Linked DNA regions of Elephas maximus indicus. The protein of the gene in region 3 interacts with the protein of the main gene of each other region in a biochemical or structural test. Links are inferred from orthologs where the notes say so. Each region holds a gene or a part of one and is shown on either strand. Other genes may lie near its edges.

Region 1 (10,562 bases), on a different chromosome or scaffold from region 3:
GAAAAGCATTAACCAGTGAAAACGTTATGAATAGCAGCAGAACATTGTCTGATATAGTGCTGGAAGATGAGCCCCCCAGGTTGGAAGGTACTCAAAAGGCGACTGGGGAAGAGCTGCCTCCTCAAAGTAGAATCGACCTTAATAACGTGGATGGAGTAAGGCTTTTGGGACCTTCATTTACTGATGTGGCATGACTCAAAATGAGAAGAAACAGCTGTAAACATCCATTAATAATTGGAACATGGAATGTACGAAGTATGAATCTAGGAAAACTGGAGATCATAAAAAATGTAATGGAATGCATAAACATTGATATCCTAGGCATTAGTGAGCTGAAATGGACCGGTATTGGCCATTTTGAATCGGATAATCATACAGTCTATTGTGCTGGGAATGACAACTTGAAGAGGAATGGTGTTGCATTCATTACCAAAAGAACATTTCAAGATCTATTGTGAAGTACAATGCTGTCAGTCATAGGATAATATCCATATGCCTACAAGGAAGACCAGTTAATACGACTATTATTCAAATTTACACACCAACCACTAAGGCCAAAGATGAAGCAATAGATTTTTATCACCTGCTACTGTCTGAAATTGATCAAACATGCAATCAGGATACACTGATAATCACTGGTGACTGGAATGCTAAAGTTGGAAACAAAGAAGAAGGATCGGTACTTGGAAAATACGGCTTTGGTGATAGAAACAATGCCGGAGATCGAATGATAGAATTTTGCAAGAACAACAACTTCATTGCAAATACCTTCTTTCACCAACATAATCAGCGACTATACACATGGACCTTGCCAGATGGAACACACAGAAATCAAATTGACTACATCTGTGGAAAGAGACGATGGAAACGCTCAATATCATCAGTTAGAACAAGGCCAGGGATTGACTATGGAACAGGCCATCAATTGCTCATATGCAAGTACAAGCTGAAACTGATGAAAATCAGAACAAGTCCACGAGAGCCAAAATATGTCCTTGAGTATATTCCACCTGAATTTAGAGACCATCTCAAGAACAGATTTGACACATTGAACACTAGTGACCGAAGACCAGAGAAGTTGTGGAATGGTATCAAGGACCTCATACATGAAGAAAGCAAGAGGTCACTGAAAAGACAGGAAAGAAAGAAAAGACCAAGATGATATCAGAGGAGACTCTGAAACTTGCTCATGAATGTCGAGCAGCTAAAGCAAAAGAAAGAAATGATGAAGTAAAAGACCTGAACAGAAGATTTCAAAAAGCAGCTCGAGAAGACAAAATAAAATACTGTAATGACATGTGCAAAGAGCTGGAGATGGAAAACCAAAAGGGAAGAACACACTCTGCATTTCTCAAGCTGAAAGAACTGAAGAAAAAATTCAAGCCTCAAGTTGCAATAGTGAAGGATTCCATGGGGAAAATACTAAATGATGTAGGAAGCACTAAAGGATGATTGAACGAATAGACAGTCATTATACCAAAAAGAATTAGTCAATGTTCAAACATTTCAAGAGGTGGCATATGATCAGGAACCAATGGTACTGAAGGAAGAAGTCTAAGCTGCACTGAAGGCATTGGTGAAAAACAAGGCTCCAGGAATTGATGGAATATCAATTGAGACGTTTCAACAAATGGATGCAGCGCCGGAGGTGCTTACTCGTCTATGCCAAGAAATATGGAAGACAGCTTCCTGGCCAACTGATTGGAAAAGATCCATATTTATGCCTATTCCCAAGAAAGGTGATCCAACCAAATGTGGAAATTATAGAATATCATTACTATCATATGTAAACAAAATTTTGCTGAAGATCATTCAAACATGGGTGCAGCAGTATATGGACAGGGAACTGCCAGGAATTCAGGCTGGTTTCAGAAGAGGATGTGGAACCAGGGATATCACTGCTGATGTCAGATGGATCTTGGCTAAAAGCAGAGAATACCAGAAGGATGTTTACCTGTTTTTTACTGACTATGCAAAGGCGTTCAACTGTGTGGATCATAACAAATTATGGAATACTGAATATACCATGGACTCCCAAAAGGACGAACAAATCTGTCTTGGAAGAAGTACAACCCGAATGCTCCTTAGAAGCAAGGATGTTACGACTGTGTCTTACATATTTTGGACACGTTGTCAGGAGGAATCAGCCCCTGGAGAATGACATCATGCTTGGCAAAGCACAGGGTCAGCGGAAAAGAGGAAGACCCTCAACGAGGTGGACTGACGTAGTGGCTGCAACAATGAGTTCAAGCATAACAACAATAGTAAGGATGGCACAGGACCAGGCAGTTGTTTTGTTCTGAGGTGCTTGGGGTTGCTATGAGTTGGAACCGGCTCGACAGCACCTAACAACAATAACAACAGTTGGTCTGTCTTAAAGCAGCCTGACCAATATCTTAAGAATTTATAATTGCTGACCACTACTGCTGTGTATCAGATGAACATGTGACTGGTGAGTATAAAACTCTCTGTCTGTGTAAAGTGAGAATTATTCCTCCTGTTCCGTAAGCCTTGAGAATAAGACAGTTGTAGATTGAGAAGTGAAGCTGTAGCACAAACCTTCACTTGAAGGAAACTTTTGTCACCATACCCTTGGGTTCCTATGCTGATGTGCTTTATAGGGTAAGCTGGCACAGGAAGTATCTACTGTCTGTCCAGATAAAGTTCAAACAACCCTGGATTCCTGCCTTTTGGGCAGGGGCTCTGTCATACATAGTCAAGACCTTCAAAGGGAAAATTAACTATGAAATCTTCAGATTTTGTATCTCCTATCATTCTTTTTTTTTGGGGGGGGGGTATCATTCTTTTTAGGAAAACATGATAACAATATGAATTAGAAAATTATTTTCTGATTAAAGGGCTTTTATCATTGCTCATTTTGACAAAGAATGCCACAAAAATGTCATGAAAGTAAAGGAACTACTCCCTATTGAAGAACAGTTGACCTTGGACTGAACGCACTTGTTGGTTACATTTTTCACCATTTTGTAGATAATTCCGCAGTCCCATATGCAGATTCTGGCTGTTTAGATGCACAGTGCATCTGATCAAGTTTGTCAATGATCAAATTTTTATACTTATCATTACGGCACTCTCACAAGAATATCAGGAATCGTCATACGACTCCCGAGGGTGCAGCTCTATGTATCTTTTGTGGGGAGCACTGGAATGGCAGCTCATCTAACTAGCCAGCATTTGAAAAACAGAATTGAATGCAATCCTTAATGCTGAAAAATGGTTAGAAGGTTTGGTTTTCGCAATATGGGGTTTCGATTAAGAAAAGCTGGAGATTGGCATATTATGTTGTCTAAATAGAAATACACCTTAAGGAAGATGTAGGGATATTTTAACTTTATAAATGCCAAAAGTCCTATGCTGCTAAAGGTAAACGGTGAAATACTTCCTTTCTTTTACCACTGAAGTTAGTTTGTATGAAGAGCACTGTCTAGTTTTATCAAGACTTTATTGTTGATAAAGTGGTAGTGGTGGTTTTCCTAGGGACAGGGACTTTGTTTTGTTCACTTGCTGATCCCAGACTGACTGAATAATGTTTATTTCTAAGAATTACGATTTCTGCTAAATGGAGTGAAAAAAATGAACCATTCCATTCTGGGATCCCAGTGGAGACATAGATAGTGCACTAAAAGTTTTCTTTAAAAATATGCAAAGAAGATAATTTATCTCAAATTAGTTGTTTATAAAGAAAGCTACTTCATAATCGATGTCTTTGAGTTTTGTCAACATATTTGCTGGGCAGTGCAAGCGGTGTGCAATCAGCTGCTAACCTAAAGATTGGCAGTTTGAATCCACCCAGCGGAGGTGCAGAAGTGCCTGGCAATCTTCTTCTGTAAAGACTGCAGCCAAGAAAACCCTACGGAGCAGTTCTACTCTGTAACGTACAGGGTTGCCATGAGTTGTAATTGACTTGATGGCAATGGATTTTTTTTTTTTTTTCTAGTGACAAAACATTCGGTTTTCCAGAACAGAGACTTTTGGTGTAAGGCTGTTTAAGAATACACACAATATATGAATTTGTGAACACCAGTTTAAAAAACAAGAGAATCTGAGCTCTTTTTTTTTTTTTTTTCCTAGACATCTGTGATGTTAAAATGTAACACTGGAAAAAAATCTTCAAAATGATCATTATAAATACTGTATAGAAGAAAAGATAAATGATTCACTTGTATGGTTATGGGATTCTGAATGGCTGATAAATGAGTCATCCCGGCTACCCTGAGAAACAGTTCACAAGAAATACAATGAAAAGACTGCAGTAACAACATGCAGGATTATTAGTGTATTTCCCAGAATTTCAACTATTGTAAATCAATTCACACAAGTACGAACAACCAGAACACCACTCTGTGTAGCAACGTGGGGATCAGACATGGAGACTGGAGGTAATCTGTTTCTTTCACGTATTTAAGGACGTGGTTTAGGAATAAGGTATCACATTTGCAACATTTAAGTAAAACAAACAATGTGACCCACACTGGAAAGCAACACTATTCATTTAACACAATGAGTTACACATAATAAATCAGATCCTCCCAGGGTGTAAACTATACAAATTTGAAAGCTACATTTATTATTAATGCCTCATTCCCAGACAGGTGCTTACTCAGTAGTAAAATCTGGTTTAGCATACCACATTTAAAGCTATTTAACAAATAGGAAGATTTTCTTTTTTTCTTTTTTTAAACTAAATTACCATGTATATAGCCAAAGGATTTGTGTGCATTAAAAAAAAATTTATTTTCTAATAGTGTTAAGAATATTTTTGTTACCACAAATGGAAATGAAATACGAATTGTACTAATAGGCAGAAGGAGCCCTGATGGTGCAGTGGTTGTTTGGCTGGTAACTGAAAGGTTGGTGGTTCGAGCCCACCAGCCACTGTGTGAGAGAAAGATGTGGCAGTCAGCTTCCAAAAAGATCACAGTGTTGGAAACCCTACGGGGCCGTTCTTTGCTGTCCTATAGGGTATTACGAGTCTGACTCGACGGTAACGGGCTCGGTTTTGGTTAATGGTCAGAGATTCTTGAACTGAAGATTGGATTATTTTAAAAGCATCGCTTATTGTTACCAGGAAATAGACTTCATATTCGGTACTCTGAGTACTCTAACAGGCTGATATCATTTTGTGAGAAACGGTGTTGCTGGAGTAAACCTAAGATATTCCAAAATTACCTACGTGGATGAAATTTCTCATTACAGATGATTTAATGAGCTTATGTTCTCAGCTGTACATCAGCACGTGTTAAATTTTGCAAAAGTTTGTGATTTCTAACAACTCACCTCCTATAAGGCCCTTTGCCCTGTAGAGCTAGTTCGGTAGCCAATAAATAAAGGGGATCTTTTTTGTTCGCATAAACAGCTTAAGAGTAATTCTGGGTGCTCTAGAAACTGTGAGTGCATAGGAAGGTGCTTATAAACGGGACGGTACACCACTTGCCCAGGATCCTCTCTAACCAACCTAACTTGACATCCACACTCTTGGGTACAGTCTCCCACTGGCCAAATAATTGCCAGTTTGGCAAAGACCACCCAGGACACGGCTCAGGGTCCATTACAGGGCCAGCCTGCACAACCTCGTGTACCCTGCTTTGGAGGAGAGCATTCAATCGGAAGATCACTTACGACCGAGTTTTTCATCATGGCTTTGACTGTGAAGCCCTCGGAAACCAGGGAATGCGGCTGGTGCAACGGGAGCGGCTGTTGGGCCAGCAGCTTGGTCCTCTTCGGTATCTTGTCTGGGCATTTGTTTAAGCTCAGGGTCTCTTTTTCTGCCACCATCTTCCTAGGAAAAGTCTTGTTCTCATAAAAAAAAAAGTGTATTAAGAATCAGTGGGGCCTACGGATGTAAGAAGGTCGGGAAAAAATGTCAAAAGGCGCAATACTGATAGAAATTCCACCCCTCGTAGTGCCCAGGTCGATCCAGATGTTTGGCAGCTCCTAGGTGAACAGGGTTTGGGGGAGGGGAGGGGCGGGAGGAGCGCAGGACCTTGGCTAGAGCTGCAACAAGCTTCCAAAGGTAAGCCCGCGGTTGCTAAGCGACGCGTCAACATTGCGGCCGAACGGCCTCGCCCTGTCGTGACGTGCGCTGCCTGGGCTTTGAAGCCGGAAAGGGTCGCCGCAGGGAGGCAGGCGGGGCGAAGGCGTAGCTGCCGGTCAGGACTACGACTCCCGGCAGGCCACGGGACGCGTTTCCTTTGCTCATGCGTCTTTGTGCCTGGAGCCGGCTAGAGTTGCAGTGAGAGGAGGTGATTGGGGGGCGACGGCGTGACTGCAATTCGGAACTACGACTCCCGGCAGGCTTCGGGCCGTAGTCTTCTGCGCTTGCGCATTCGGTCGTCCCGGGGGAACAGAGCGTGGGTGGGGAGATCTGAGCAACAGCCGGGAAGAGCGGCCTTGGGAGGCGGCGGGCGACGGGCGCTGGAGCCCTGTTGCCGAGCGGCCGCCGCCCGCCCAGTGACCATGATAGGTACGTGGTGCCTGCCAGGTACAGCGTCTGTGCGCCGCCATGCCGTGCCTGGGCCGAGGGGACCCGGGGGTACCCGCCGTGACACCTGTCAGTGACAGGAGACAAGTGCCCACGCTGCCTGGGCTCCTGTGTCCGGGGACACGGCCTGGACCTGCGACTCTCGTTGGGGGACCAGAAACTAAGTGTGTGTTCTGTGGTCCCTCGCCCTCCTGCCTGGTTTAGCAGGCTCCCACCGAAGAGAGCTAGTCAGGAACACTAGCCAGGGGGCACTAGTGCCTGCCACCTCCCTCCGAGATGACCGCCCCTCCTCCTGGTGCCACATGGGTCCCCGACGCCCAGAGCCTTGCAAACGCCCCTGCAAGACCCGTGTGGGGTCACTGGAGCGCCGCCGTTCCCCGCCCAGGTGTCCTCCCTCACCTTGCTCTGGTGAGCTTGGCTGGCTGTCTTTCAGCCTAGGACACGGTGGAACCCCTTCAGTAGAAGTCTTTAAGGGGAATCGTGGAGACAATCAAACTCTAATGAAAAACACATGGTACTGATGGTTGGGCTCAAAACATTCCTTTATGTGAATTTATACTTGCTTCCTTGACATTTTCTTCTAAACCTCTCCCTGAGAGTCTGAGATAAAAGAATAATTAGCAGTGTAATAGCAAGGTTTGAATATTCTGCCATTTGCATAATGCATTAACTGCAATATATATATATATAAAACACAAAATGACTGAGATGCCTTGTGAATGAAGCTTTGGAAGTGGATGTTAGAGTTGTTTGTAAATACTGTGATGTTTTAGATTAGCAAGGGTCCTCTCTTCCAGGGTTAAGAGACAAGGGCCAAGTTATTTTAGAGGCTACCCCTGAAAATCTGTGGAAATGCACAGTAGGATTAGAAAACAACTATTTGAGGGGCTCGGTATGACAAAGACTTGCTCCAGTTTATGTATTAGGAGTATGGTGTGAGATTAGGCTTATTTCTGAGGGATACCACAAAACACGTTTTTGATTGTAACAAGTAAATATTAGTTCGGATGTGGTCTGTTCAGAAAGATGAGTGGTGGATTGATAAAATACCTTAAGTTTGTGTCCTAGTTTCCTAGTACCACTGTAACAGAAATGCCACAAGTGGATGGCTTTAAAGAACAGAAATTTAATTTTCTCACAGTTCTGAAGGCTAAAATTCCAAATTAGGTTTTCCACCTTGTGGATGCCTTCCCTCTGGTTTTTGGAGGCATTCCTTGGTTCCTTGGCAATCTTCACATGGCATCTGTCTTCACCCTGTTTCTGCTTCCTTCCATGTCTCTACTGCTCTTCTTATAACTCAGAAATAATTAGGTTTAGGACACACCCTACACTGATATGGCTCTATTAACATGACAAAGAAAATCTTATTTCCAAGAGGGACCACATCCACAGGTCCAGGGGTTAGGATTCCAGCATAGATTTTGGGAGGAACACATAGGTTGTCTGTGAAGCCCTGGTGGCTCTGTGGTTAAGAGATCGTCTGTTAACCAAAAGATGGGCGATTGGAATATAACAGCCCCTCCTTGGAAACCCTATGGGGCAGTTCTACTCTGTCCTATAGAATCCCTATGACTTGACAGCAATGGGCATTTCCTGTTGTTAGTTGCCCTCTAGTTGATTCCAACTCATGGAAACCCTACGTGTGCAGAGGATGTGACCTTTTGGAAGGAGATTACGAAGCTTGTCTTCCAAGGCACCCCTGGGTCAGTTCAAACTGCCAACCTTTCTACTGCTAGTCAAGAGCTTAACTATTTGCACCACCTGGGGACACCACTGGTGGTGTAGTGGTTAAGAGCTACAGCTGCTCGCCAAAAGGTAGGCAGTTTCAATCCAACGGGCACTCCTTGGAAACTATGAAGCAGTTCTACTCTGTCCTATGGGGTCACTATCGTTAGAATCGACTCGATGACAGTGGGTTTGGTTTACAGGTGTAGTTACCCCACAGCATTTCCCAAGTCTGCTTTATTTATGGAAAGAATGTTAAAATGCAAAGCATTGGTCTCGTCTCTAGGAGAGTCACAGTGGTTAATTAGCCTTGGCTTTGCAAATTTTTTTTTCTTTTGCAGCAATGGTGAAACCTTGGTGTGCTTTCCATCTTATACTCTAGCGTGGAATGGATTTTAGTGAATGACTGTTAAAAATTATCAAATTAAGAAAAATTGATACATTGTTATGAATCTTATTGAGTCTTTTTAGGTGGCATTTGCACAAGAATTACTTGAAAACACAAATCTGAACTGAATCAGAAAACCAAGCAAAAGGTGTTTTCTCAGAATTTGTATCATTATTTTACAGGAAAAGAATAATAGCCTATGCTTTATTTTGAAGACAATTATGCAAATTTTTAAAATTCTGCTTCAGTACAAGGATATTATTAAGAATAGCAAACGTATTGTAAAATCATAAAAAGACAGGAACTTGAGATCTAAAAGTCTTTGCTTAATTCTAAATTAATATCTAATGCATGATTATGCAAATAACTTTATTAGGATGAAAGTTATTTAGCCAGTTGTATTTAGTTTTTATTTGGAAATTATGAATAAAAGAAGTATTATCTTTGACAATGATATGGAGAATATAGGGTGGATTTTAAAAGGCATTTTTTCTCATACTTCAGCTATTGCTTTATGTAGAGTAAGTAAGTGTGTATTACAACACAAACGTCAGTTTGTTGTACTGTAGTAGATTGTGTGTTGCTGTGATGCTGGAAGCTGTGCCACCGGTATTTCAGATACCAGCAGTGTCACTCATGGTGGACAGATTTCAGTGGAGCTTCCAGACTAGACAGACAGGAGGAAGGACCTGGCGATCGGCTTCTGGAAACAAACAAACATAGTGAAAGCCTATGGATAGCAGCAGAACATTGTCTGATATAGTGCTAGAAGTTGAGCCCCTGAGGTTGGAAGGCACTCAAAACGCAACTAGGGAAGAGCTGCCTCCTCAAAGAAGAAGAGGAAAAAAAAAAAAAAACCCTTGCAGTCCAGTGAATTCCGACTTACAGCGACTCTATAGGACAGAGTAGAACGGCCCTGCAGGGTTTCCAAGGAGCAGCTGGTAGATTCCAGCTGCCGACCTTTTGGTTAGCAGCCATAGCTCTTAACCATTGAGCTACCAGGGCCCCTCTCAAAGTAGAGTCGACCTTAATGGCGTGAATGGAATTAAGCTTTCAGGACCTTCATTTGCTGATGTGGTAGGATTCAAAATGAGAAGAAATACCTTTAAATATCCATGAGTAATCAGAACATGGAATGTATGAAGTATAAATTAAGGAAAATTGAAAGTCATCAAAAATGAAATGAAATGCATAAAGATTAATATTCTAGGCTTTAGTGAGCTGAAATGGACTGGTACTGGCCATTTTGAATTGGGCAGTCATATGGTCTGTTATGCCAGGAATGACAAATTGAGGAGGAATGGTGTCACCTTCGTTTTCAGAAAGAACATTTCAAGATCTGTCCTGAAGTAAAACACTGTCAGCGATAGGATGATATCTGTATGCCTGCAAGGAAGACCAGTTAATACAACCATTATTGAAATTTACCCACCAACCACTAATGCCAAAGATGAAGAAATGAAAGATTTTTACCAACTTTTGCAGTCTGAAGTTGATTAAACGTGCAGTCAAGATGCATTGATAATTACTGGTGATGGGAATGTGAAAGATGGAAACAAAGAAGGATCAGTAGTTGAAAAATATGGAGTTGGTGATAAAAATGACACTGGAGATTGCATGATAGAATTTTGCAAGACCAATGCTTTCTTCATTGGAAATACTTTTTCTTAACAATGTAAATGACACCTATACACACGGAGAAGCAACTCTGTAGCACAGTAGTTAAGCATTCGGCTGCTAACAGAAAGGTTGGTGGTACAAACCCACCAGCCACTCCATGGGAGAAAGATGTGGCAGTCTGCCCCCATAAAGATTACAGCTTTGGAAACTATGGGGGCAGTTCTACCTTGTCCTGTAATGTCACTGTGAGTCAGAGCCAACAGAATCAGATACACATGGACCTCACCAGATGGAATACACAGGAATCAGTTGACTACATCTCTGGAA
Region 2 (10,818 bases), on a different chromosome or scaffold from region 3:
GGTTAGCAACTGACCTCTTAACCACTCTGCCACCAGGGCTCTTGTTCTGGCTAAAGGTCTCAGTAAGAAAACTTCGTGGGAAAATTATCATTTGAATTGGACCCTGAAGGATGAGTAAGATTTCAGTGGAGGTACAAAGGGACGGAGGGCGAGCTCCCAAGGAGAGGGAACACTGAGCAAAAGAATCTGGGTAGGAAAGTTCTACCAGACTGCAGAAAGACAACTGAGATGAGACGAAAGGTCGGTGGGGATCCATGCAAAGGAGATGAGGCTACAATGTCAGGGTTATTATGGGGAGGACAGGGAATGCCAGGCTAAGGAATCCTGACAAATGTGGTAGGCAACACAGGAGCCCTGGAATGTACATAAGACAGCATGAGGATCAGAAAAGGTGCTTTGGGGAAGTTCATTTGGACCCAGTGTGGAAGGGGGAAGAAGCAGGCAACAGGAAGAAAAGCAGGATTAAGACAACCTTACTAAACCTCTGTTCTTGTGCGGGGAGGCCGGCTAGAAAGAGGCTAGTTTGCTGTGTACTCAGAAACAGTAAAGCTATATTAGGAGGCCCTGGGTAGCGCAAGCACTGGACTACTAGCTGAAAGGTTGGCAGTTCAAATTCACCCAGCAGAGAGCCTTGGGAGACAAGACTGGCGATCTACTTTTGAAAGGTCACAGCCTTGGAAACCCTATGGAGCAGTTCTGCTCTGTAAACGTGGGGTCATGATGAGTCAGTCGGAATTGACTCAACGGCAAATAAAAACAACAGCCATATTAGCTGAAAAATATTGCGACCCTTAATTAATATTGATGAGACAGGAAAGTAGAATGCCAGACAGATAGCAGAGATGACACCAACAAGTCTGATGATACTGATGAGCGAGGAGAACAACGTGAGAAATTTGGGTGATAGGAACAGGAAATTGAAGAAGAGGAGCTGGTTTTAGTGACGGATGAAGGGGAGAAAAGATAGGAAAAATGAAAAGATGAATCTATTCAAAACGTGGTAAATTTGAAGCAGCGGCAGACCACTAAGAGATAGCTATTTGGGAAAGAGATTAGAACTGGAGGTAAGGATTTGCACCTAGATGGTCCGAATTAATAAGGCACCACCTGAAGAACAAGGGCTGAAGAAAAAATGGTAGGAAATGTGTGTCTGAGGAGCAGATGGAAGTGAAAAATGGTCAGAAAACATAAGTGAGAACAATTAAAAAAGGAGATGAAGAATAAGGACAAAAAAGTCCTCAAGTTGAGAAGCTGAGGAAGGGGGAGGCTGTTAATTATAAAATGCTGACAGATATCAGGGCTTTGAACCAATTTGTTCCAGTTCGAAACCCTGCTGAGAATTTGCATTTCTAACAGGTTCCCAGGGGATGCTAATGGCACTGGTTAGGGACCAATTCTGAGAATCGCTAAAAAAAAAAAACCAGTTGCCTTCTAGTGGATTCCAACTACTAGGGACCAAATAGTAGGGCCAAAACATAGCGACCCCATAGGGTTTCCAAGGCTGTAAATCTCTAAGGAAACAGACTGCCACATCTTTCTCCCACAGAGCCACTGCTGGTTTTGAACCACCGGCCTTTCGGGTTTGCAGTCCGACTGCTTTAACCACTGCACCACCAGGGCTCCTTACTAAGAGAGCAGTGGCTCTTGAAATTTATTATACATAAGAATCACCTGGGAATCTTGTTAAACTATAGATTCTGACTTTGTGTATCTGCAATGGAAATGTAAATTTCTATCAGGTGTATAAACCAGAATGAACTGGTTCGAAGCTCTGCCAGATACTGAGGCTGAGAAGCCCGCTAGATTTGGAGACTCTAAACCACACTGAATAAAGAGTGCCAAGTTGGAAGACAGGAAGGAAAGAAAGCCAGGTAGCAAGGCATAAGAAGAGAAAAGACATCACCAAGAAAGTGAAAAGACAACCTGCAGAATGAAAGCTTTTTTTTTTTTTTTGAAGATCATAAACCTGATAAGGGACTTGTATGCAGAATATGGAGTCCCTGGGTGGTGCACTCAGCCGCTAACTGAAAGGTTGGAGGTTCGAGTCTACCCAGAAGTGCCTCAGAAGAGAGGCCTGGCAATCTATTCTCAAAAAGTTAGCCATGGAAAACCCTATGGAACACAGTTCTACTCTGACACAGATGGGATCACCATGAGTTGGAACTGACTGAACCGCAAATGGTAAAAAATTCAGAATATATAAAGAACTCTTGTTAACTCAAAAATAAAAAAAGATAAATAACCTAATTTAAAAAATGGGTAAAGGATCTGAATAGAATAAGCTCGCAGGCTTTCAGAGCATAAGACTTTCTCACAAATAACAGAGGAGGGCACGGGGACACCTACCTAATGGATTTCTTCTATAGTGAAACGAGCCTCCTGCAGAGTAAGTGGGCTGGAACACGCTTCCCAGCTGATGTGCGAGGACGTGATTTAGATTGCTAAAGGAGACCTGTCTGAGACCCATCAGTTTTGCACAGATCTTATGGACAGCATCATTCTCATGAACAAGGAGGGCATCCGAAGATTGGTACAAGTGAGAGAGAGTCAAAATGGAGTTGTAGTTCTGAACAATAACCTAGAAAGAAAAACATCAGAAATAAGAAAGGCAGGAGTGAAGAGTGGTTAAGAGCGTAGATTCTGAAGCCATCCTGCCTGCGTTCACATTCCTGGCTCTGTCACTTTCTAGCTGTTGGTATGATTTTGGACAAGATATTTAACCTCTGAATGCCTCAGTTTCCTCATTTGTTTAAAAACAAACAAACCCATTGCCATTAAGTTGATTCCAACTCATGATGACCCTGAGTTACAGGTAAGACAGGGACAATAATTACACTGGTCTCCGAGAGTTAGAAAGATTAATGATATAATGGAAGTAAAGAACTTAGGAATAGTGCCTTGTACATAATAAGGGCTTAGTAAATGTTGGCTATTATCACACTTCCTTCCTACATCATTTCCTATAGTGAGTTATCTCACCTCCAGTTTACTGATTCTCCTACTAGGCTGACCAACACGAAATTGGCCTATATACAAACTTCTTCCCCATGGAAAAAAAAAAAAACTATTTGAAGGTTGGCAATGGCACCATGAACCCCAATATGAGGTCAAGGTCTGTCCTGCTTTACATACTGTAGCCAGAGGGACTAACTCAGAGTTGGGTTCCTGAGAGGGCATACACAATCATCTTTTTTTGAAATTTTAAAAAACGTGGACACCTAGTTTGTTTGGAAAAGTTTAAGTTAAGTGAATTGTACTCAAGAAAGTATCATGTTGCATAATCACTCCTGAAGCTGTAACTTAACATGTCCAAAGAAAGAGTGAGAATCAATTTCCTACCCACATTTATTTCAACTGGAAAGAATGCAAAATATAAAAATTTCAATTAATACGTTCATACCTCACCGGTTCCATAAGGCCATATAACCTGATTCATTTTAAAAGAGTTTGGGTACTGATCTTGTAAATCCCGGGTAACAAAGGCTCCTAGCCCTGATCCCGTGCCCCCGGCCATACTCATTATGATGAAAAAACCACTCAAAGAGTCACATTTCTCCACTTCCTTCTGAATTAGGTTCATTATAGATTCTTCATGCCTGGGTCCATGAACAGAGTAACTATGCAATGCAAAAGAGACAAACATAAACCCTTTTAAAATTGACCACAGAGATGCAATGCAGAGATAGACACAGGACAGAGCGAGCTTTTCAAAGCTGCGCAAGTGAACTAATTCTCACGAAAGATACAAGTACTCTGACTGGCAGAATTTAAAATACAAAAATATATTTAACAGGTGAATATGACTGCTAGGAGAGGGCACTGACTAGGTACAGGAAATTCTCTTTTATGGGACATTCATTTACCAGGAGCCTTCAATGACCAAGTAGTTCTGTGTAAGTTTCTGGTACAACATAATATCTGATACTCATAACAATAGTCCTAAAGCAGTGGTTTCAAACTTTGCTGCACATTAAAATCACCTGGGGACCTTTGAAAAATCCCAATACCTGGACTTTATCCCAAGCCAATTAAATCAAAATCTCTTGGAGCGAGTCCTAGGCATTGAGACTTTCCAAAGATCCCCAGGAAATTCTAATGTGCAGCAAAGTGCTGGAACTACTGCTTTGTAATATTCTTGCCCAATAAACCAGAATACTCGCCAGATACAGATAATATACTGACAGTAAGTCAGCTGGCAGCACGACAATGAAGAAGGTGGAAAACCTTGGGGCAAGAGATCCTTCATCATTACCTGTACCTGAAGCACAGACACAGAGACTGAATGAGAGTTTCTTCTGGGTGAATTCAAACTTTAAAGTAGCAATTACAAGATTGTTTGCTAGTACAATCTAGAGTATATCAACTCTACAATTGTAACTACATTGTCTATTAATCAACAATGTATCTGTAACTAAACTGCAAAATATGTGGAATTATTCTTACCCATATGCCCAGTTGTTTCCAGAACCTTGTCTTTGACAGAAGCATGCATGCTGACCATATTTCCATCGGCCAGACCGGGCAGCCTTTGATAGTGTTTGATTGATAACTTTAGGTTCCATGTCAACAAGTACAGCCCGGGCAACTAGAACTAGCAAGGGAAAAAAATCGAAAGAAAAAATATTTCAAGGAGGAAATTTTATAGTAGTTAGTGTTGTCAAATCCAGCAGAGAAGTTAAGTGAATTAAGAAAAGAAAAACAGCCATTGAATCTGGTAATTAGGAAACTTTTTCTTAGAGTAGCTTCAGAAGTGGTGAGGGCAGAGCAAGATTGCACTGGGTTAAGGAGGGCTCTCCATTGAGAATCTTGGATAAGAAGGCAAGAAATTAAGAAAGAAGAAAACTTTAGTCAAGGGATTTTTTTTGTCTTGCTTTGTTTTAGACTGGTGAGATCTGAGCGCGCTCATGTGCTGAAGGAAAGATGCCACTGGGAGGCAAAAATTGTCAATAATAGAAACAGATGGGAGAGAGCAAACATAGGTCCCTAGAGAGATGGGGGAGGGATGGGGTTCAGACACCAAGTGGAGGGCTTGGCCTTGAAAAGGCTGGCTACCTCAGACTAAAGGAAAGAACCATGGGCCACACATACCTCCATTTTCCTCCTCACTGAAGAACCTTTCTTTGCAAGACGCTTGATACGCCTCATTCTCCTTCTTGGAGCAGAGTCCCTGGGAACAGTATGAGTCACTAAATAAAGTATCAAACACTTCAAAACCAATCTGATTGCCACACTGACCAAGTTGCACTGTTACTATTGACATGCTGAGCCACAAAGTCCCACCAAAAAAGTGAGCAACCTGTAATAGAAAAATATAGACTTTGAGAACTATTATATTACTAAAAGAACAAATAAAATGCCACATATTAATTACATCTTGATTAAAAAATATAATTTAAAAATGCCATATATGTACAGGGTTGCAGATGAAATTGTTATGTTGTCTAAGGTGCCAGTCATTCAGGAAGTTCTCCTTTTCTTTATGGTTTTGCGATTTGTGATTTACTATACTCAAATACATTCATACACAGCTTCCACAATCTGATTCATACTATTTTCTTCAGCATGCATTTAAGACAAAGCAAAAAGAATGCTGATTGACGGGATTACGTAGTAATACACAGTTCACACCACGTGGACACATAGAACACAGAATTTCTCTCTGCAATCACGCATTTAATTAACAGTAATTTTCCCTCTTCTAAATAATGACTTTCTCTCCCTTCACCAACCTCCTTTCTGGCTTGATAACTACAATTACACTTTGTGACCTCTTGGTTAGCAGCCCAACTCTTAACCACAACGTTCCCTGGGCTCCTTAGCTCCAGTACAGGAAGAAAGCCGGAGCTCGGAGAAAGCAGACCAGATGAAATATTAGAACTGGTTTTCATTATGTTTAATAAACAAAACAGACAATTTTTGATAAAGACCTCACACCAGGTCTATGCAGCAGTGGAAATGAGCCACGGTTTGTGAGCCAGGTTCTGTGCTTCAGATTTTCAAACAATCCTACAAACCAAACCAAACAAAACACACCAAAATCCTACAAAGCAGGCATTATTATCCGCTTTTTACGGATAAGGAAACTGAGGGTCTGGAAAGTTTTGTGATTTCCCAAGACCACCAGACTAGTAAAGAGCAAAACCAAGACTCTCCCTTTCCCCACCGGCCCCAGGAACCCCTCATTAAAATAAACTCACTCACTGACAGCCCCGGTACTAGTCGCTTCTGTCTTCTTCAAACTTCAGAGGGCCAATCCTCTCGTTATGCGCATGCTCGCCTTCAACACTAAACACTGCCAAGAACGAATGCGCATGTTCCACAGACTGAGCGTTTTGGGGGTAAGTGGGGTGGTGGGTGCGTGTGTGTGTTTCTTCTTATTCAGAAAGGTTAATTACGCATGTTTAATTTCAATTTATCAACATCAGATATGGTACGCATGCTCGCTGTCCATCAAAAGCTTGAGCTGACAATGCGCATGATCTAGCCTCCAACCGAGGCTTCGGCTGGCATTCTGCGCATGTCTCTCCCAGGACCTTGATCCTGGCAATAATTCTACGCATGTCCACTGCCCACAGTTCGGCTTCATGGGACCCAGTACGCATGCTCTAGCGCTGAACTTGAGGAGCCAGTCTACGGCCTAGGCGCAGTCGCACTAAGCCTAAGCGGCCGGTGATGGCGGCAGCGGCGGCAGTGGTTGCGGCGGGTCCGGGCCCATGAGGCGACGACGGAGGCGGGACGGCTTTTACCCAGCGCCGGACGTCCGAGACAGGGAAGCTGAGGACATGGCAGGAGTGTTTGACATAGACCTGGACCAGCCAGAGGACGCGGGCTCTGAGGATGAGCTGGAGGAGGGGGTGAGGCCCGGGGTCCCGGGGGGCCCGAGGTGACAGGGCTGGGGCGGCGGCTAGGGCCCGGGAAGCCAGGCGTGTCTGAGAGCGCGGAGACCCAGGGGGGCGCGAGTAGTCTTCGGGAAGGGCTGGGAGGCGCCCCGCGCGGCGGAGGTGGCCCTAGGTGTGAGGCCGCTGCGGGGCTCGCAGGTGCAGGTCACTCCCCCAGCTCCAGATCAGCGCTGTCCCGAGCAGTCTGTTTGTGGAGGGAACGAGGAAGGATGCGTGATCAGTTCCTCGAGCTGTGGCACTTGTGTGTGGTGGGACGCGGGTGGTGTGAGCGTGTGTTGGGGGGAGGGAGGCTGGCTTGTTAGGTGTCCCGTAAAGTGCAGGCGAAGTGCGGAAGGGTTTCCCTTCAAGTGTAAAATTTCAGGTATTAAATCCTCAGATCTCCCACAACTACCTCTCTTCTCGGCCTGTCGCTTCTCTCCTAGGAAGCGCTCAGCTGTTAGAAGTGACAGCTGAAAACTTCTGTCGGGAGTAGCGCTGCCGCTGCTGTTACAGCCACCAGGAGTTTTATTTCTGGAGCAAGGGGGCTCAGCTGCATCTTCCAGGGTTTGTTTGTTTGCTTTTTTTTTTTAACCCCCTTCCGTGTGATTTTTTATAAAAGCATTTGTAACGACACACGGCATTTGTAATTAACTTTTCTTCTAGATGAAGATGTCTCTCTTTTTCGAAATATATTTATGTAATTTTGGGGTGGAAAAAACCCACTGTTGACAGCTGTGATTTGGCTTGCCAAAAATAAATTGCTTGAATTGAGACTTGTGAATGGTGGTGTGAGGGCTTTCCTTGCTGTAATTTAGGATGCTGAATTTAGAATTTTTTTTCTAATGCATAGCTTGGTTTTACCTTTAACAGTTTGTTATTTATGAAAGATCATTCTTTCTTCAAGATGAATTTGTTGAAAAATCACAAATTGCACCTGATGTTCAAAAATGATGTTGTCATACTAAATCACTTATCCTGGGCTAATGGCATCAGCATAACCTCAGTGTAATTTAGGTTCTAAATTCCACTGTCTAATGAGTACATGGGTTAATGACTCGTGTCATACGTTTGCTCTAACTACATAAGGGGCTCCCCTTTTCTTTCCCCACGTACAATTTTCCTGCTATGGCAATAAATTGCACCCTGCTTGTTAAAAGATTTCAATGCTACATATATAAAGAACTTAAGCAACTAAGTGGGCTAAAATAATAATAACTATTCTTTTCATGATCAAATGAGTCTAAATCAAAATCACACAGTTTAGAATGTGGATAAGAGGTATGTGCTTTTTAAACTGCTATGTCTGAGTATGGGATTCCGTTACTCTCTTAAATGAACACCATGGTACACTAAATAACAATTTGAAACAAATAGGGGATTACTTTCTTAATACAGGTAATTCTGCATCTTTTTATGTTTTTTTCTGCTCCAACTTCCATTACATGCACCATACTGTCATCAGTTATAGTATTTCCATATGGCAATGATTTTGGGCCAGGGTAGGGAGAAAACGAGATAGGAAGGGTGCTTTATATTTTTGTGAGTTAAAATGATATAATTTCCAAACTATGAGTTTATCCTCCTTTGAAAATACACCACTATATTAAGACACTTGTTATGAACTGGGACCCCCTTGGTATGTGCTTCAGAAACAGTGTGTAGTCCAGTTTTGACCTTCTCCTGGGCTTTTGTTTTGCTTCCTACAAGCAAAGTAGGATTTTGAGAGGATGTGGTGGAGATGGCCTGAGAAATTGGTAGATACAGGAAAGAGCAAGAAGTGTGGTAACTACCTGGGAAGAGGATAGAGCCAACCAAACCAGTTGCCATGGAGTCCACTTTGAGTAAACTCAGACTTGTGGTGACTCTATGCGTGTCGGAGTAGAACTGTGCTCCATAGGGTTTTCAGTGGCTGACTCTTTGGAAGTACCATGTTTTTATGCAGATAACATGTGCCTTCTATGTTTGTTTGCCAAGCACTCCCTCCCCCCACAAGATATTTTCATAAGAGCCTCTATGCTGATTTTTTAAACATGTTTCTGTAAAAAATTAGCATAGCACACTTATGAAAATAACCTGGGTCAGGGGGGAAGTGGTTGGGAAACAAACTACAAGGTGCATGTTATTTGCATAAGAGTATGGCAGGTCACCAGCCATTTCTTCTGAGGCATCTTTGGATAGTCTGAAAACTCCAGCCTTTTGGTTAGCAGCAGAGCTTGTTAACCATTTGCACCACCCCGGGGCTTTGAGGAATAACCTTAAGTAAAATACGTCTTACTTATCAATGCTTTGGGAGTTGAAATTGTTTCTTTTGGGTGTGTTATTCTAAGAGGTGCCTCAAGGTAGACAAAGTTGGGGTGGGATTGGGGTGGCAACCCAAGGAGAATTGCTTACGTCCAGGTTACTCGAAATAAAAAAAAAAATTCTGAAGAATAATAAAAGTTTAGTTTCTAGGAAAATGTAATATTTTCCAGCCATTTATGTAATAGCTATTAGTTTATTACACAGACTTTTTTAACAATGTGTATCAGAGTAACCTAATCTCTTGATTTTATAGTAAGGAAACTGAGGCATAGGTCAGAGAGATGATTCCCCAAGATCACATAGCTAGTGGTAGTGTCTTCTGACTCAGTTCAGCAAGCTTCATTGCACAACTTCACTTTATTTACCAGTCTTGATCATAATGTGCATCTTTGTGGTGTGGCAGAAGTGAGTTAAAAATCACTTCTACTACCCTCCCTATGTGACTTAAAATAAGTTGCTTAACCTCACTGATGGAGCCCTAGTGGCACAGTGGTTAAGAACTTGCCTGCTAACCAAAAGGTTGGCAGTTTGAACCCACCAGTCACTCCTTGGAAACCCTATGGGGCAGTTCTACTCTGTTCTGTAGGGTTACTGTGAGTCAGAATTGACAGCAACAGGTTTGGTTTGATTTTTAACCTCACTGTCACTTTCTTCTTCTCTATGAAATAACGATGGCATGAGGTAAAGTATATATATACACCCATTACAGTTGAGTCAATTCTGACTCATAGCAACCCTATAGGACAGAGTAGAACTGCCCCCTGTAGCGTTTCCAGGGAGCGGCTGATGGATTCAAACTGCCAACCTTTTGGTTAGCAGCTGAGCTCTTAACCACTGCACCACTAGGGCTCCAAAGTATAGAAAGTACTCTCAAAATATCCTGGCATGTTAAGCAGTTAGCTAGTTCACAGAAATAACTGTCAGTATTACTCGTTGACAAGGAACCATCATTCAGATTTACCTTCATCCTTGCCTGTTGTTACTTGCCATCAAGTCGATTCCTACTCATGGTGACCTGTGTATGCAGAGTAGAACTGCTCCATAGAGTTTTTAAGGAGACTTAAGTGGAGTTATACATACTAGAGGTGGTTCAGTTTTACAACTGTTGCATCAGGTTTTTTTTTTTTTTTTTAACAAAAAGCATTGTAGTCCTATTTAGAGAGGGGTGTTTTTCTAGGTGTGTTACACTAAGTGAATCCTTATTGGTAAATATGATGTATTTACATAGCATAGTCAAGTTCACTCTTTAGAGTAAAAGACGAGAAGTCTAAACTGATACTCTTATGGATGAAACTGAATGCCTGCTACTAATAAAAGAAAACTCAAACCAAATCCATTGCCACTGAGTTGATTCCAACTCATAGCGACCCTAAAAGATAGAGTAGAACTGCCACATAGGGTTTCCAAGGAGCGGCTGGTGGATTTGAACTGCCAACCTTTTGGTTAGCAGCTGATTTCTTAACCACTGTGCCACCAGGGCTCCCATCAACTAATAAAAGAGCCTGCTTAAATACATAAAATCCTCCAAAACTCATTGCTCTTGAGTCTATTCCAACTCATAGCAACCCTGTAGTACAGAGTAGAACTGCCGCATAGGATTTCCAAGGAGCGCCTGGTGGATTCAAACTATAGATCTTTT
Region 3 (10,236 bases):
GATAGCATCTCACCCCGAAAATTACTGGCACTAGTCAAAGAAACAGAAAATAACAAATGCTGGAGAGGTTGAAGGGAGATTGGAAGTCTTACACACTGATGGTGGGAATGTAAAATGGTACAGCCACTATAGAAAATAATATGCTGCCTCCTTAAAAATCTGGAAACAGAAATACCATATGATACAGCAATCCCGCTTCTAGGAATATATCCTAGAGAAATAACAGCTGTCGCCCAAATAGTCATATGCGTATCCATGTTCAGTGTGGCATTATTCACAATAGCAAAAAGAAGGAAACAACCTAAGTACCCATCAACAGATGGATGGGTAAACAAATTATGAAACATACACAAAGTGGAATAGTACACAACCATAGAGAACAATGATGAATCCACAAAACACCTCACAACATGGACGAATTATGGATGGCATTATGCTGAGTGAAATAAGTCAATGACAAAAGTACAAATATTGTATGAGATCACTATTATAAAAACCAAAGAAAAGGTTTACACACAGAAAAAATAAACTTTGATGGTTACAAGGGAGGGGAGGGATGGGAAGATAATAAACAAATATTAATTTTAGTGAAAAGAAAGACAACACACAATATAGGGGGAGTCAGCACAACTTGACCAAGGCAAAGCCACAGAAGCTTTCTACACACATCCAAACACTCTGAGGGGCTGAGGGCTGAGGACCACGGTCTCAGGGAACTAAATGTCAATTGGCATAAAGTAGGTCATAAAGAAAACGTTCTATATCCTACTTTGGTGAGTAGCATCCGGGGTATTAAAAGCTTTCAAGTGACCATCTAAAATGCATCTTTTGGTCCCATCACATTTGGAGCAAAGGAGAATGAAGAAAACCAAAGACACAAGGAAAATATTAGTCCAAAGGACTAACGGACCACATGAACCACAGTCTCCAATCAGCCTCAGCCCAGAAGAACTATATGCTTCCCACCTACCACCACCAACAGCTTTGACAGGGATCACAATAGAGGGTCCCAAACAGAGCCAGACAAAAATGTAGAGCAAAATTCAAATTCACAAAAAAGGACCAGACTTACTGGTCTGAGAGAGACTAGAGAAACCCCCAAAACTATGGCCCCTGGACACCCTGCTAACTCAGAACTGAAGCCACTCCCAAAGTCCACCTTTCAGTCAAAGATTAGACAGGCCTATAAAACAAACAATAACACACATAGGTAACATGCTCCTTAATTCAGTCAAGTACATGAGACCAAATGGGTAACACCTGCCCCAAAACAAAGACAAGAAGGCAGGAAGGGACAGGAAAACCAGATGAATGGACACAGAGAACCTGGAGTAAGGGGAAACAGTGCTGACACATCGCAGGGATTGCCATGAAAGTCACAAAACAATCTGTGTACAAATTTTTGAATGAAGAGACTAATTTGGCTGTAAACTTTCACCTAAAACACAATAAAATTTTTTTTAAAAAAAAGGAACCTAAAACAGTGATGGTATATTTAGCTTGGATACCTCCCAGTGACTTGCCCCAAATCACAGAAGCCCCAACCTCTCGGAGTTCCATGGTGACATAGTGCTGGAGCTCCTTGGCAGCTTTGGCCCTGGTCTCCTCATTGCGGCTCTTCAGGCCACTGGCAAACTGCTGCAGAACGCTCACATTGCTGGATGTGGTGGTGGCCGTGGTGGCGGCGGCAGGTCCTGTTCCAAGCATCTTGCCCTGAGGTTCTTTGGAGAAAAGCTTCCTTTAGTATCTGGATAATGAACCATGACAATGAATTTATTGGCCCTTGTTCCTCAATACAGATTTCTACCCAGCTCATGTCAGGTGGAGAATTCAAAAAAGGTTGGGAGATCTAAGGAACACGTAGAAAGCCTAGAAAACATTCTTTCAACAGAGATTAACGTTTAAAAGAGCCAGCATAGCAAAATGGGTTGAACTGTGGGTTGTGGAGCCAGACTATCCGGGTTTGAATCCAGTTCCAAAGTTACATAACTTGAGGAAAATACTTAAAATCTCTCTCACTTTCCTCGACCACAATAAATATGAGGATAAAAACCCTGTGCCATCGAGTCCGTTCTGACTCATAGCGACCCTACAGGACAGAGGAGAACTGCTCCATATGGTTTCCAAGGAGTACCTGGGGGATGTGAACTGCCTACCTTTTGGTTAGTAGCTGTAGCTCTAAAGGATTAAATGAATTTTAAAAAGTGCTTAAAATAGTGCTAGGCACACAGTGAGTTTTCAATAATGGTTAACTATTGTTAACCATTATTGTTGTTGTTAGGTGCTGTCAAGTTGGTGCTAACTCATTGCAACCCAACGTACAACAGAAAGAAGCACTGCCCGGTCCTGTGCCATCCTCACAATCACTGTTATGCTTGAGCCCATTGTTGCAGCCACTGTGTCAATCCATCTCATTGAGGTTAACCATTATTACTACTATGTATACACATAAGAAGCCCTGGTGGCACAATAGTTAAGTGCTTAGCTGCTAACAGAAAGGATGGTGGTTCGAACTCATCCAGCAGCTCCATGGAGGAAAGACAATCTGCTTCCATTAAGATAAAAAAAGATACAGCCAAGAAAAACCCTATGGGGCAGTTCTACAGTCACATGGGGCACTACGGGTCGGAATCAACTCGAAGGCACCCAACAACTATGTACATGACTCAGTGGCAGGTACTAGAGGTGGGGAGAGAATACCAAATAACTGAGACTGCCCATTTCCTCAAGGAGTTCAATCTAAAGACAAAGACTGATTATTATGCTATAGCAGCGCTATCCAAAAGAAATATAATACAAGCCACAAACGTAATTTTAAACTTCCCAGTAACCATACTAAAAAAAGGTAAAAAGAAACTAGTGAAATTAATTTTAATAGCATATTTTATTTAACTCAATATATAAAATGCCATTTAAACATGTTATCAATATAAAAAATTGATACATTTTCCATTCTTTTTTTGCACTAAGTCTCCGAAATCTGGTGTGTATTTTACGCTCACAGCAATCTCGATTTGGTCTAGCCAATAGCCACATGCACAATTGGACAGTGCAGTCCTATAGAATACCAGCACCTCAAACGTGAGCTAAAAGAGCCACATTAGTTCTTGAGTTCATTCACTCATTCTTCAACTATTTACTGTCTCTTCCCCTCAGTGAGTTTACAATCCAGTGGGAAATACAAATAACCAGGCAACCAGAACAAAGTGGCCATACCACGGCTCAGTGCAGACTGCTATGGGAGTAACATGTACCCATCCTAGGTATCTCCAAATTATACTACAAAACCAATTACCAAAATTCTTATTTTAAGTGCCATTTGTGACCCACAGAGGAAAAGCAGAGAATAGTTGGTTTTCAAAAACTTTTAAATGCCCCAGTGCCAAGAAGACTGCAGAAGGAAATGTCATCTTTTACAGGAGAGGAAACCTAAGGATCCCTGATGAAAAAACCATTAAGGTGGGGAGGCGGGGGCGGGGGGAGGGGCTTGGCAAATAATTACCATCCTTAGGAAAGAACCAGTGTATCTTTGTATGGTCTGAGTCCCACAGGCTCTCTGCTCCAAGGTGAATTCAGTTAAATTACTCCAAGTCAGATGTTCTAAGGGTCTTAGTGAGGGCTTCAGGGAGCCCGTTAAAGTTGGGTGGCTGAAACTAGGGATGGCGGCGGGGGAGAGGCACGAAAGATGAAACCCAAGAAAATAACCGAATTCAGCCCCGTGGACTGGGACCCTGAGAGGTCTCCAGGGCGCAGTGCAAGGGGCTGACACTGAGGACGGTCCTCTCCGAGGCACAGGGTCCCCAGTTTGTATGTACCTTGGAAGAAAAAAGGGTGACTGTGACGGGCAGGGAGCCCCAAAAGGGCCTCGGCAGGACCGGAGCTGATGGGCCGGCCTCCGGAGAGCCTGCGACGAACGACAGGCTGAAGGGTCCGGGGACTCCTGGGGGCCCGGGAGGAGGTGGGCGTTACTCGCGGGGCGAGGGGTCAAGGGCCCAGGCGGCGCCAGGCTCGTGGGACTGTTACTGAGGGGACTCCACGTCCCCGACGGGCGGCTTCCCGGGGCCCCCACCGACCAGGTTGGCCTTGGGTCTGGACATACCGCCAACTTGGAGGGGTCGGTGCCAGGCCCCAGACTCACCGCGCGGCTTCGGCCAAGGCCTCAGCTGCCGCCGCCAGTGCCGGTACCGCAGCTTCAGACTCCCGACCCCACCACCCGCCTTCCCCGCTGTCCTCTAAGCCGGGCGGGAGAGAGGGTGGGCTCCCAGACCTAAGGACCAATTGAAAGGCGAAGTAAGAAGATTGGCTGGAATATAGACCAATAGTAACGAAGGCGAAATGACGCTTCAGGCCCGGCTTCTCCGGAGGGCGGGGACTGTTCAAATAGACAAACCATGCGGCCAGTGGCAGGAGAAAGGAGCCTACTGTCGGCTCTGGAGAGCCAATCGGTGGTGAGTTCACATCAGTCACTTCCATGCACACTTCCGGTGTATCGCTACTCTAATTCCCCTCTGCATCTGGGAAGCGGGCCAGCCGAGTCCGCTCTCTGGGTACCGCGGGATGGGAGGGATAGGTGGTAGGCAGGTTCGAGAGAGACTCGAGACCTCGCCCAGTGTAATTATGAAAGGAGCCTGTGGGCCTTGCCAAGGCCTTGTAATTACTGGACGTTAAGTTTAATATCCATTTGAAAATGTTTTTAGTTATACTTTCTCACTGCAAAAAATTTTTGGCTCACAGGATAATTCCCAAGAGATTACAGCCAATTTTTAATTCAATAAGGTATTGATAAGTAATTTTAAGGAGACTTGGTTGCGCAGTGGTTAAGATCGGCAGTTCGAATACACCAGCCCCTCCCTAGAAACCCTATGGGGCAGTTCTACCCTGTCCTCTAGGGTCGCTGAGTCAGAATTGACTCGATGGCAATGAGTTTAAATACTTTTAAAAGCAATATTGTTTTTTTTAATCCTCTAAACAATAGCAAAAAATGGAATTTCAGTGCATCTCTTCTTATTAAAAATTTCCAAATAGGTAATGTATTTACCATTCAAATTTCAAAATAAATAAAAATTATAACTTCTATATAGCTCCTGCTTCTGCCCCTTATTTTTTTAGGTCCTTGTGTGCAGCAAATGGTTTGCCCTCCCAGCTGAAAGGTCGGTGGTTCGAACCCACCTAGTGGCATTGAGGAATAGAAGCCTGGTGATCTGCTTCCATAAAGATTTCAGCCAAGAAGACACTATGGAGCAGTTCTACTCTAACACATGGGGGTCCCATGAATTGGAGTCCACTGGCGGCACACCACAACAGCAACAATATGTATCTTTCTAGAGTTTCTTTATGCAAATAAAGCAAATATGAATTTACATTTTCCTGTGTTTCTCCTTCCTTACACTGTATACGCTGTTCTGCACTTTTTAAATTTCAGTGTATCTTGGAGGTCTTTCCACGGTAGATATATAGAAAGCTGCTTTTTTATAGCTGTTTGGTATTCCATTATGCAGATATACCATAATTTGTTTTCGCAGTCCCCTGATAATAGACATTTGCTTTGTTTCCAACTTTTTGCCATTAAAAACAGTGCTTCAATGTATGCCCTTGTGCATATGTCATTTTGTCCTGGGGCAGGTATATCAAGGCAAATTCCCAGAAATGGGGTTGCAGGGCCAGGGCAAATTAATGCGTAGCTCTCACGGATATTGTCAGATTGCCCTCTATAAGGGAGATATTGTTGTCACTCCCACCAACAATATATGAGATTTTTACCACCCTAAGATGTGACAAGGAAACCCTGGTGGCGTAGTGGTTAAGTGCTACGGTTGCTAACCAAAGAGTCGGCAGTTCGAATCTTCCAGGTGCTCCTTGGAAATTCTATGGGGCGGTTCTACTCTGTCCTATAGGGTTGCTATGAGTCGGAATTGACTCGACGGCACTGGGTTTGGTTTTGGTTTTGGAAGATGTGACAAAGCTCTGTTTTCTAATTAACAATTAAAGGTGGTTTATAACAATAGTAATCAGCACATTTGTAGGTCTGTTGCCTGGTGGCACAGTGGTTAAGAGCTTGGCTGCTAACCAAAATGTCAGCAGTTCACATCTACCAGCCACTCCTTGGAAATCCTATGGGGCAGCTCTACTCTGTCCTATAGGGTCACTAAGGGTCGGAATTGACTCGATGGCAATGGTTCATTTTGTTTTGTTTTTTTCCTCATTTTACAAAGACCTTTCTTACCCGTTTCATTAAAATCTCTCTAGTTGCCATGGGGTTGATTCTGACAGCGACCCCATGTGTGTCAGAATAGAACTGTGCTCCATAAGGTTTTCAATGGCTGATTTTTTTTGGAAGTAGACCACCAGGCCTTTCCTCCGCGGTAACTCTGGATGGACTTCATCTGCCAACCTTTTGATTAGCAACCTAGCATGTTAACCATTTGCATCGCCCGAAAACTCATTGCCGTCAATAGGTTCTGACTCATAGCAACCCTATAGGACAGAGTAGAACACCCCCTCAGGGTGTCCAAAGAGCAGCTGATTGATTCACACTGTCGACCTTTTGGTTAGCAGCCGAGCTCTTAACCACTGCGCCACCACACACTTACTAACTGTATGAACCTGGGCAAGTTCTTAATCTCTATGTACCTATTTCCTTATCTGTAAAACAGGAATGATAATAGTACCTATCTCAGTAGCCAGTGTTATGGAGGTTAAATGCTAGTACGTGTCAAGTACCTACAAAAGTATCTGGCAGATGTGAACAGTTAGCAAATGCTGTGACTGTCATATTGTTTCCATTTTATACATGAGTAAGTACTAAAGTACAGAGAAGTTGAGCCATGGAGTTGATAAGTGATAGAGCCAGGTTTTTCTTATCTCTGCGTCTTTGCCTTGTCTGATTTGGCAGCACAGGACACTCAGGCTCAGCCAGCTTCAAAAGTCTGTGCTCAGCAGGGAACTTGCAAATATTTAACAACCAGCTCTGGGGGTGGGCGGTGATGTGTGCATATACAAGGCGAGCTTTTTGGGAGTGTGACCTGTGTAGTCATAATACTATGCGGTCACTGTCTTGAAATTCTTCATGATTTTTGAACAAGGGCCCCACATTTTTATTTTGCATTGAGCCACACAAATTACGTAGTCAGTCCTGTGTACTTACCTATTATATGTGTATTAGAAACTTTACCAATATAAAGGGTGTGTAGCACACAATTTACAAATAATAATAAAATATATGATGTTTTTATTGTAAATTCCATATAGCTAAATTGGTTTCACAGAAGGCCTTCACTGATATTGTGTAGCCTATCTATGGCTGCAGTTGATCAATGAGTAGTTTCAACATGAATGTTGGTTGATAGTTTGACGTGTCGAGAGATGTCAGAACTTTACTTGTCAGTGACTTCAGCGACCTCTTTGGTGAATAGTTTTCAGATACCGGAAGAATATTTCCTTAGATTTTTGGTCCTACTCACAATCCGAGGAGCCCTGATGGCGTAATGGTTAACCGCTTGCCTGCTGACTAAAAGGTCGGTGGTTTGAACCCATTCAGCGGCTCTGAGAGAGAAAAGACCTGGCGATCTGCTCCCGTAGAGATTACAGCCTAGAAAACTCGATGGGGCAGTTCTAGTCTGTCATATAGGGTCAGTGTGAACTGGAATCGACTGGACGGCATACAACAACAACCACATTCGCAGTGTAATGGCTACAGATTTCACATACTTTTAAATTTAATCTGCATTATTAACATTTTCTTTGTCACTTTAAAAAAAATTGTGCTTTAAGTGAAAGTTTACAAATCAAGTCAGTCTCTCATACAAAAACTTAGACACACCTTGCTATGTATTCCTAGCTGTTCACCCCCTAATGAGACAGCACACTCCTCTTCTCCACCCTGTATTCCCTGTGTCCGTTCAACCAGCTCCTGTTCCCCTCTGCCTTCACATCTCGCCTCCAAACAGGAGTTGCCCACATGGTCTCATGTGTCTACTTGAGCCGAGAAGCTCACTCCTCACCAGTCTCATTTTCTGTCTTACCGTCCAGTCCAATCCCTGTCTGAAGAGTTGGCTTCAGGAATGGTTCCAGTCTTGGGCTAACAAAGGGTCCAGGGACCATGATCTCTGGGGTCCCTCTTGTCTCAGTCAGACCACTAAGTCTGGTCTTTTTTATGAGAATTTGAGGTCTGCATCTCAGTGTTCTCCTGCTCCATCAAGGGTTCTCTGTTGTGTCCCCTGGCAGGGCAGTCATCGGTGGTAGCTGGACACCACCTAGTTCTTCCAGTCTGAAGCTGATGTTGCCTCTGATTTATGTGGCCCTTTCTGTCTTTTGGGCTCTTCTTTACCTTATGTCTTTGGTGTTCTTCATTCTCCTTTGCTCCAGGTGGGTTGAGACCAATTGATGTATCTTAGATGACCGCTTGCTAGTATTTAAGACCCCCACCTTTGTCACTTTTTTGGGGCCCTGGCGGCGCAGTGGTTGAACAGTCAGCTGCTAAACAAAAGGTTGGCATTTTAAGTCCACCAGCTGCTCCTTGGAAACCCTGTGGGGCAGTTCTACTCTGTCCCATAGGGTCACTAGGAGTTGCAATGGGTTTTTTGTTTGTTTGTTTTGGTTGGTCATTTTTTTAAAGTCTAGATAGTCAACAAAATAATTATTAAACATTCATTGATTTGTACGGTGTAAATACTTCTACCATAGCATATTTCAAGCTACCAATGGATGTCACTTAGGGGGGCGGAGATGTGCAGTAGCCCACCATTATTCTGTATTTCCATCGTGTAGCTACGATAGATGTAAATAGCCTGAGGAACATAAACGGTAAAATGTAGTAAAATAAGCAGGAAGTGACAAGTTGTATTTGTTACCTTTGTTTTTAAGAATTTATTTAATTGTAAGTTTGTATAATTTAATTTTTAATAATGGTTCTGCTTAATGACCCCATCACAGAATTTCTGGAAATTTAACAATTAGCTCTCTCCAGCCAGAAGGAACCACAGATAGGGACCACAAGCTCCCAAAAGGCGGGGCAATGAAGACAGAACTAGACGCTTGGTGGGAGAAGGGAGGAGGGCAATTATTTTCATGAAGAAATAAATACACTAGAAAATGAAGATATAAAAAAAGGCAGGCAGAGCAGCATATGGTATGTCAATTGCACAATAAAAAGAAGGAATTATTGCTGTTGCGATCACAGTACGGTATTACTAAACCAACCCCGTTGCGGTCAAGTCGATTCTGATTCATAGTGACCCACGCATAGGATTTCCAAGGCTGTAAGTCTCTAGGGGTAAACCCTGGTGGCGTTAGTGGTTAAGTGCTATGGCTGCTAACCAAGAGGTCGGCAGTTCGAGTGCACCAGGCGCTCCTTGGAAACTTTATCGGGCAATTCTATTCTGTCCTATAGGGTCGCTATGAGTCGGAATTGACTCGACAGCAGCGGGTTTGGTTTTTGGTTTTTAAGTCTTTAGGGAAGCTGTCACATCTTCTGTGGACCTGCTGGTGGGTTTGAACCGCCGACCTTTCAGTTAGCAGCCGAGCGCTTAACCACCGCGCCACCAGAGCTCCTACCTGATTATTACTAGAGCCCTTAAGTTCTTAGACTATCACTTTCCATTCCAGGGCTTCAATTCTCCCATTTTTTAAAAAATGGGGCTAATTATACTTTTCTTATCACCTTCAATTTGCTCCCTGATTTTTGTCCATTTTGTTCACTGCTGCGTCCCCAGCGTCTAGATCAGCGTCTGCACACAGCAGGCGCACAATAAACTCTTGTTGAATGAATAAATGAATGAATGCTATTTCAGTGAACGAAAACCAAAAAACCAAACCCGTTGCCGTCGAGTCGATTTCGACTCATAGCGCTAAACTGAAAGGTCACATGATGCTGAGTGAGGCTGTTTCCAGCTAGCTGGGTACCAGCGGCCGGGCGCGGTCCCCTCGGCCTGGGCGTGGCTGGACCTCGGGGTTGTCTCCCGGCCCCGCCCCCGGGCCTGCCCAACCCGGCCCGGCTCGCGCCGCCGGCCTCTGTTTCCCAGCGGGCCTCCCGGACGGGCGCACAAGATGGCGGCCGCGGGAAGGCGGCCGCGGCTCGGCCTGGGATTCTGACGTGGGACTGGAGACGAGAGCTAGGTCTTCCCCAGGTGACAGGTGATCGGGGCAGTGCCGCCGGGCCTCGTGGGGTGCAAGGCCCGCTCGTTGCTGTCCCCGGACCCCCCCGCCTACCCAGCCCCTGCCCCGGGGCGGAACGGAAGG

Evidence for each region.
Region 1: of the proteins of MTOR (region 3) and PRKN, one has a biochemical effect on the other in vitro, tested with the Homo sapiens proteins (2 studies listed by BioGRID). The link is inferred for Elephas maximus indicus from reciprocal best matches to the Homo sapiens genes MTOR and PRKN.
Region 2: of the proteins of MTOR (region 3) and RPS6KB1, one has a biochemical effect on the other in vitro, tested with the Homo sapiens proteins (18 studies listed by BioGRID and IntAct, with this or other methods). The link is inferred for Elephas maximus indicus from reciprocal best matches to the Homo sapiens genes MTOR and RPS6KB1.

The regions. Positions count from the first base shown.
Region 1 is NC_064819.1:234,900,677-234,911,238, reverse strand, and holds the start of PRKN (E3 ubiquitin-protein ligase parkin), read left to right. Parts: upstream 1-6,352; 5' UTR 6,353-6,477; coding exon 6,478-6,484; intron 6,485-10,562. Other genes in the region: PACRG (parkin coregulated gene protein), read right to left, coding at 5,641-5,796. UniProt on the Homo sapiens protein: Functions within a multiprotein E3 ubiquitin ligase complex, catalyzing the covalent attachment of ubiquitin moieties onto substrate proteins. Substrates include SYT11 and VDAC1.
Region 2 is NC_064837.1:34,231,639-34,242,456, reverse strand, and holds the start of RPS6KB1 (ribosomal protein S6 kinase beta-1), read left to right. Parts: upstream 1-6,608; 5' UTR 6,609-6,713; coding exon 6,714-6,854; intron 6,855-7,338; exon of another isoform or gene 7,339-7,442; intron 7,443-10,818. Other genes in the region: TUBD1 (tubulin delta chain), read right to left, coding at 2,347-2,578, 3,401-3,617, 4,444-4,591, 5,089-5,260. UniProt on the Homo sapiens protein: Serine/threonine-protein kinase that acts downstream of mTOR signaling in response to growth factors and nutrients to promote cell proliferation, cell growth and cell cycle progression.
Region 3 is NC_064821.1:51,094,145-51,104,380, forward strand, and holds the start of MTOR (serine/threonine-protein kinase mTOR), read right to left. Parts: upstream 4,248-10,236; 5' UTR 4,139-4,247; intron 4,114-4,138; exon of another isoform or gene 3,816-4,113; intron 1,748-3,815; 5' UTR 1,708-1,747; coding exon 1,546-1,707; intron 1-1,545. UniProt on the Homo sapiens protein: Serine/threonine protein kinase which is a central regulator of cellular metabolism, growth and survival in response to hormones, growth factors, nutrients, energy and stress signals.